Linked DNA regions of Tamandua tetradactyla. The protein of the gene in region 1 interacts with the protein of each later gene in a pairwise test. Links are inferred from orthologs where the notes say so. Each region holds a gene or a part of one and is shown on either strand. Other genes may lie near its edges. The genes, in order: RHEBL1 and TXNL4A.

Evidence for each region.
Region 2: the proteins of RHEBL1 (region 1) and TXNL4A interact in a two-hybrid assay, tested with the Homo sapiens proteins (2 studies listed by BioGRID and IntAct). The link is inferred for Tamandua tetradactyla from reciprocal best matches to the Homo sapiens genes RHEBL1 and TXNL4A.

Annotation. Positions count from the first base shown.
Region 1 is NC_135333.1:109,943,818-109,947,728, reverse strand, and holds the start of RHEBL1 (GTPase RhebL1), read left to right. Parts: upstream 1-931; 5' UTR 932-1,169; coding exon 1,170-1,221; intron 1,222-1,789; coding exon 1,790-1,861; intron 1,862-2,224; coding exon 2,225-2,292; intron 2,293-2,564; coding exon 2,565-2,647; intron 2,648-2,737; coding exon 2,738-2,794; intron 2,795-2,987; coding exon 2,988-3,035; intron 3,036-3,375; coding exon 3,376-3,457; intron 3,458-3,594; coding exon 3,595-3,684; 3' UTR 3,685-3,911.
Region 2 is NC_135344.1:2,385,373-2,389,283, reverse strand, and holds the start of TXNL4A (thioredoxin-like protein 4A), read right to left. Parts: upstream 2,199-3,911; 5' UTR 2,114-2,198; intron 1,637-2,113; 5' UTR 1,610-1,636; coding exon 1,457-1,609; intron 1-1,456. UniProt on the Homo sapiens protein: Plays a role in pre-mRNA splicing as component of the U5 snRNP and U4/U6-U5 tri-snRNP complexes that are involved in spliceosome assembly, and as component of the precatalytic spliceosome (spliceosome B complex).

The DNA.
Region 1 (3,911 bases):
TAGGTATTTAGAATTAATCCAGCTGTTTTACATGGCCTGGTCTCTCTCTCCCTCTCAGACCTTACCTGCTTTAGGCTCCCTGGCTTTATTTTCTTTTCCTAGAACTAAAAAAATTTTGTTCCACTTTAAGGCCTTTGCACTGGTGTGTATTGTTCTGTTGAAATTTTCAGCTAGCTGGCTCCTTACTGTCACTCAGATCTCAGTTTAAACGGGGCATCTTCTGAGAGGAAGTACCACTAATTTAAAATGATCATTGCTTATCACAACACTCTGCCTCTTTTATAGAACCTAACACTATCTGATATTTCCTTGTTATGTTTGTCTCTCTTCTACTAGGTTTTAAGCTTCGTGAGAGCAGAGGCCTTGTCTGTCTTGTTCATCCCTTTACCCCCAAAGCCTAGAGCAGCATCTAGAACATAAATATTTGTTGAATAAATGAATGCATTGATGATTATGATGATGACAGTGAAACCTCACACGACCCGGCCACAAACAGCAATTCCCTCAAGAACAACAATTGCAGTTCAGAAGTTAGATCCTCGAAGAATGAAAAATCTCACAACAAAAGGTCTGATTAAAGGGAGGGAATATATTGGATTTTTGGCCTTTTTTTTTTCCTATCTAAGGACCTCAGAGTCCTGGCAAAAGGGAGTCCTAGAATCTTTTGACCAGAAACTTCAGCCCAGCCGTAAAAGATATTTTCCGCCCATGATTCTCCGAAGTCACTTCAGCTAAGTTGCAAATACACAAACACCTCTAGGACCCCGGGTTCCTTTCTGTTTCTTTATGAATGAACCGGCTCCAGTCTGCGCACGCGCAGCTCCGTGTTCTCCCGCTCCACGTGAGACCCACCCTTCCCTCCCTCTGGCGACCCCGCCCTTATCCTTTCTAATGGACCAATGGCGAGCAGCCTGGGGGGCGGAGCCCGGAGCGGCGCGGCGGTGTAGTTCCCCGGCGCCCGGCTCGTTCGCGTTAGTCGTGCTGTGTTGTGATCACGTGGCCAACTCCGGGCGCGGCGCTTGTTTTGGTTTCCCTCTAGCTTGCCCCTGGCAGCTTCAGGGTGAGTGACTTTATTGCACGGGTTGCCAAGGCCTCCTACACGCTGACTTCCTCCCCTTCGGGCTATCTCAGCCCGCAGTTCTCAAAGCCCCTTGGGGCGGGCGCCTGCCATGCCGCTAGTCCGCTACAGGAAGGTGGTCATCCTCGGATACCGCTCTGTAGGTGAGTCTCCGCCCTGGGGAGATCACGGACGCACCGCGGCTTTGCGGCCAGAGGGGGCGCGCTGCCGCGGAAGTCCGACCCAGGGAGGAATGGTGGCATCGTATGAACAAGGGTGTAGAGCGAGGATTCAAAGGATGGAGGAGGAAAGGCCGGGGGAGGGAGATGCAGGAAGCGGGGGCCGTGGGGGTTAATATGGGTTTGGATGAAGGAACACCTGAGTGGTCCCAAGCGTTACTGTGTCGGTGGGAGTGGGCGCAGGGGATGCGGTCTGCCTGGGACAGGTAGTCGCAGGTGTCCTAGGGCGAGGCCGACTTGACATTAGGGAATCCTGGGTCTACTGGGAGGTGGGGGGGTGGGGTAGGGAGAAAGACGGCGGGAAATGCTTCCTGCGGCGCTGCTTGATGTATATTGTAGCCAAGGTGCAGAGACTCAGGGAGAAGAAAGGGTGAGGGTAGATTAGGGAAAGGCATTACTTGGGGCATTCAATGGCTGGGGTGCACAACCTGAGAGGACAGAGGGTGGGAATGTGGACAGAGGATTTGGATACAGTTATCACTGCCCCCCACAGGGAAGACATCTTTGGCACATCAGTTTGTGGAAGGCGAGTTCTTGGAGGGCTATGATCCTACAGTGGAAAATAGTGAGTAGACTTCTCCCTTAGTGTGACAGGGATGGGGCAGGAAGGACTTGGGTTCCCTACCCAACTCCATAATTTAAAATTTCTTTGGTGTTAAGAGGCTGATTTAATAGATATGAAATTTAATCTCTTCCTTCTCAAGCAATCCTGTTCTATAAGTGGTGCTAAAGTTTGGATTTTGCAGGATTTGGATTGTCCAGGATGGTGACAATGTGGATCTGAACCCTATCATTGTTGCTCCAGTTTCTTGGAGAGTTCCCTGGACCTGGTCTATCCATGTATCATCCCCAGGGTTAGGAATGTATGGGGAAATGTATTGCTGTTCCTACAAGTTGCCCCATAGACAATTTTTCTTTTTCCTTTCAGCTTACAGCAAGATAATGACTCTTGGCAAAGATGAGTTTCACTTACACCTGGTGGATACAGCAGGGCAGGTACCAGTTTGGGGTTGGGTATCCAAATGTAGCAGTTCAGCCCTGAGAGGTGAAGTCTGTTAGCCTTTGTGGTTCGTCTGTAAAGTAGAATGAAAAGAAAGGCATTTTAGCAGCTAGTAGTATGCAGGGCTTTTTGAAACTGCTCCATAAATTCTTTTGAATGGAAGTAACTGGATTATGGAGTGTCCCAGGGAGAGTCCCTTGGGTACAGTCCCACAAGTCTGCCATTTGAGTGATGTGGATCTAGGATTGATGTTTCTTTTTCTTGTCAGGATGAATACAGCATTCTGCCCTATTCATTCATCATTGGGGTCCATGGTTATGTGCTTGTATATTCTGTCACCTCTCTCCATAGGTAAGTTGCCAAGGCTGTGGGTGGGGAACTTGGGAGGAACTGAGGGATGTCCCAGAACTAAGGTTACAGCTCCATATCTTGTGTTTGAAGCTTCCAAGTCATTGAGAGTCTGTACCAAAAGCTGCATGAAAGCCATGGGAAAACTCGGTGAGTGGTCCTGGGGAGTAGAGATATCCTATGGAGATAAGTTGGTGAAGAGTTGAGGGGAGATTTGGTCCAAGTTAGGGAGGAGAGCAGGACATAGATACTGCCTGGGCTGGGTTGTTCAACCTAACGTGAATAAGGTTGGGGTCCATGGGGAATGGAAGGGGATCTTGTAGTGAATTCTGTTTCCTCACAGGCTGCCGGTGGTGCTAGTGGGAAACAAGGCAGATCTCTCTCCAGACAGGTATGTGAATGTTTAGAGCTCAGGCTGAAAGTGAACTGGACTAGGAATCAGTTGGGCCCTAGTCCTGGCTCTGCGACCAACTTGGGCAAGTCATTTCACCTCTCATTGTTTCTAACTTGAAAGTTAAGAGAAAATAACCCTTCTATCTCAGAAAATCATCCTTCCATATTTCAAATTTCTATACTACATTCCCCCATCACTCCTTTGTTTACCTAGGTCTTCTCCTTCTTCAGCCTTCCTCCCAAACCTTGAGAAAATGGGATGGGTCAGAGGATGTATAGATTCTAAAGATTTTGCAAACAATATGGGAACATTACTATCCTCCCAAATTTGCTTCCAGGGAGGTCCAGGCAGTTGAAGGGAAGAAGCTGGCAGAGTCCTGGGGTGCAACATTTATGGAGTCATCTGCTCGTGAAAACCAGGTGCTTGGCCTGAAGACTATGAGGGTGGAGGGGGTAGTAGTGTGTTTCTTATAGCACTGTTTGATGGTTGGAAAGTGGGATGTTTACCTCAGAGTTGGGTGGTATTGGCACTGAACTAATTGACTTATCCCTTACAGCTGACTCAAGCCATCTTCACCAAAATCATCCAGGAGATTGCCCGCATAGAGAATTCCTATGGGCAAGAGCGTCGCTGCCGTCTCATGTGAGCCCTTAGATATAGGGTAACTGCCTTGTCTTTGCCCCTGGCACTTGCCAGGCTCCAGTTGGGCAGGCCCTTAGGACTTCACGGGTATTGTTGCCAGCTGTGGCCCTGGCCCTCTGGGCACACAGTGTGGTACCCTCATGTTTGCACACTTTCCTCAGGCTTCAGCAGCCTGGGTATCAATGTTTACAAAGGGGCAAGGATGTCTAATGGGCACTGGCCTCTAGCCCC
Region 2 (3,911 bases), on another chromosome or scaffold:
CTGCAAGGCAGAAGAGCAGATCCCAAATGATTTCAGTCAACACAGCAAGGCTGAGCTTCTGAGGGATGGCTCCCAGTGCCCTCTGCTCTGCCCCAGCAGTGCTCAAGCGATGTGTACTCGTTGTGTACTCACCCGCTGGTGCCCTCGCTCCTGACCTCTGACCCCAGTTTCTGAGAGTTCTGCTGTTCTCCTGAAATTCTCCGGGAACCTGCTGATGCGCTTCAATATCTCAAAGCACTCCTACCCTAACTCTTACCTTCAGTGAAGTTAAGGTGTGGCCCGTGATCAAGTCATATCAGAATTCCCTGGGGAGCTTCTTTAAAAAGCAGTTTCTTGGTCCCCACCCCAGACCTATAGAGTCAGAATCTCTGAGATGCATTTTAACAAGCACTTCAATGATACTTACGACTTCTAAAACATAAGAACAGTTCCTAAAGTTCACAAAGCAACACCACTACCTCACTCTTTTCTTCTGACAAGACAGGGCAGTAAAAATGAACAAATGGAGGGCCAATAATTTTTCCTTTCCTCGATAAAATATTTATAGCTTGTTACTAGTTCTTCAAAGCAGTCATTTAAACCCAGCCATCATTAATGCATCTCCTATCTGCGTCAAAGACAAGAGCGTATCAGTGATTATATTACTTTTACTCTCCAGTAAAATGAATGACCATCTCAAATGATTTATGAAACGATAATTTTACTATTTATGAACATGTTCATAGCTTTATCTCTTGCCCTACTGCTACAATTTCAAAAACTTAAATAAAAATCAACCTAAAAATTCCAATCAGGAAAATACAGAAAACTAAAGCCCTGGGTATGTACTAGTGCCCTACAATGGCACCTTTGTCTTCATCAAGTTAAGTACTAGACTCCCCAGTACACTAACATTAAAAATCAGGGAAACCAGTCCTAAAAAAGCACAATTCTATTTTTCTCCTAATGTCACCTGAATTTCAATCATTCAAAGATATAAATCAGGTGACTTACAAAGAACATGCTATGATGAAGGGAAAAAACCATTACCAAAACAAAAAGAAGTCTTTACTGTTATTAACATAAGGGTTCTGTTTTATAACTAAAATAAACAAGGTGCCAAAAAAAGAGCTCATCCTTTTTAACTCAGCTATTTAAAGCATCAATGCTCTAGCCAAAGTCTGCAAATTCTTTTTTTCCCCATTGCAATGCAGATGTAAATTTTGAAACACATCTAATCAGTACAAATTATTCACTTATTTGGGAAGGGATCATGAACCTCTAAAATCTGAGGAAATTCCTGTAAACTTCTCCCGGAAAAAGATGAAGCCTTCTGTGCCCTCTCAGGGAGCACACCCTCCCCTCCCGAGGCACGGCTCTGCACGCCGCCCAGTCCTCTCTACCCGCGGGGCGTGTCTGCACATCAGGAGACAAGGGTTAGGAGCCACCCACGCCGGCTGCGGGACCCGGAGCGCACCTTCTCCGCGATGCTGTACAGAACCTCGTCCATCTTCATGCAGGTGGGGTCCCAGTCGTGCCCAAAGCGGATGACGACGACGCGGTCCTCCTCGGACAGGATGGCCTGGTCCACCTGCCAGCCATTATGCAGGTGCGGGAGCATGTACGACATCCTGAGGCTGCGGCACCTCGCGCTCACCTGCGGGCGGTAGGCCGCGTCGCCACCCTGCCGGCTCCGGCCCGGGCCCCAGCCCCCGCCTCCGCCTCCCGGGCCGACTCGCCCACGACGGGGACCCCGGCGCGCGGCCCTGCGCGACCTCCCCTTCCCCACGACCCCCTCGACGCTCCCCTCTCAACCCTCCCTTCCCCCGCACCCCCTCGGCCCTCCCCTCCCTTCCCCACGACCCCCTGGGCCCTCCCCTCCCTTCCCCCGTACCCCTCGGCCCTCCCCTCCCTTCCCCACGACACCCCCGGCCCTCCCCATCCCCTCCCTTCCCCCGCACCCCTCGGCCCTCCCCTCCCTTCCCCACGACCCCCACGACCCCCTCGGCCCTCCCCCCTCCCCTTCCTTCCCCACGACCCCTTCGGCCCTCCCCTCCTGCCCTCCCTTCCCCCGACCCCGCCTCGGCCCTCCTCTCCTCCCACACCACGCGCCCCAGCGCCCGGCCGCGCGCACCTCACACCACACCGGAGCGTCTCGCCAGCCACCCGCGTCTGCTCCGCGCGGCTGTGCCCGGAACCTCTTGCGTGCGCGCGCTGACGTAGCGGGTGCGCGCGCGAGACCCCGCGTGCGTGCGCGCCCCCGCCGACCTCGGCCTGGGGAAGGGGGGCCCCGGGGTTGCTCCGCCCTTTCTTGGGTGCCGCCGGGCCTGGCTTTTGTCAGCCCACGTGCGTTCCGAGAGTTGGGACATTTTTAAAAAAGCATCGAAATAGTCATCTTTAGAAAAAGCAGGGCTTTATCGAGCTAGTTATCATATACATAACTGTGTATATCATATATGCACAAATATTTGACGTCAGGGAGACTGAAATTTTGTTTTTAACATCTTGGTGGACAGGACTGAGTAAAATTTCCGCACAGACAGCTGCCACTATCCTGTGAGTTTGAAATTATTCCGAAATTAAAAGTTTAAAGAAGGGCGGGCCACGGTGGCTCAGCAGCTTGTTTGCGATGCCAGAGGACACGGGTTCGATTCCCAGTGCCTGGCCATGTAAAAAAAAAAAAACTGACAAAAAAAGTTTAAAGAAGATAAGAATACAGCACCGCCAATGAAGCACTTGAAGCTGCCCAAAAAGCCACGGATCTTAGTGGTTTACAGTGGAACCCTGCCTTCCCAAAGCTATTGCAGGGCTAGACCAGGATTTTCAAAAACAAGGATGCAACTTAATCAATTTTATTGTTCTAAAAATTATGGACATTTTTAGGAAGAGCTGAAGTATTTTCTGTATTGTTAATATATACATTTATTTAAGTGTTTCATAATTTTTCTTCTTTATACTTTGTGCATGTCTTATGTACATATATATTTGTAAAGGAGCTCATGCACATAACATAAACTTGCTCAAAACTTTCTTCTGATGTGCTGTGTTACCAAGTGGGGAGACCACTAGCAGGAGAATGAAACCAAGACTTGGTATTCAGTTTCCTTTGGAAGCATATATTCTAAAATGCTATGTTATTTAATGACAATTTGTGAGGCTATAAACTAGAGTAGACATAAATTCCTAAACAAGGAACCTCTCCCCACAACTGTAGATGTATCTTAAGGTGCTCGTGCACATTCCTTGGCACAATAGCTATCCATACTAGAACCACTCCTGCTATCAGTACCTTCAAAGAGGCATATTTAGGATCTTGCAAATCCCAATTTGACTCTATGCCTTCCTAGTTCTTGCCCTATATAACCACTATAATCTGCTGGGTGGCACAGGGCACTACTCTGAATGTCCTGCAGCCACCTAGGACCAGTTTTCTGGACTGTAAATTCCCTAATAAATTGTTACCATTTTGCTGTTTGGAGTGATCTGTTTCATTTTTCATGTTAAGTGCCCATTGAACTTCAGCAGGACCTATTCTGTAGGTTCACAGCAGGACACAGTTTAAATATTAGAATCATTCTTAGTAGAGAATCCATAGAGTGCAATTCACTGACAGATTAAGTTTTTATTACATAATATAGAATCTATTCCACGTACGTATGACTCAAGATCTTTTTTTTCAGAGATCATCTAACCCAACTTCTTTCATTTTATAGTTGAGTCAAGTACAGAGAGGCATTGATAGACTACAAGCATAGTGGTTAACAGTGTGGACTTTGGCTACAGAAAGATGCTGGGTTCCAGGTCAGCTCTGCCTCAGATAAGTAACCTCTCTAACCTTCAGTTTGCTCATCTGTGAAAGGGGAAGAAAAGACAAGGTTATCTGTGTGCGTGGAGATGTGGTGTGTACTGGAGAAATCTCAGCCCTTATTGTT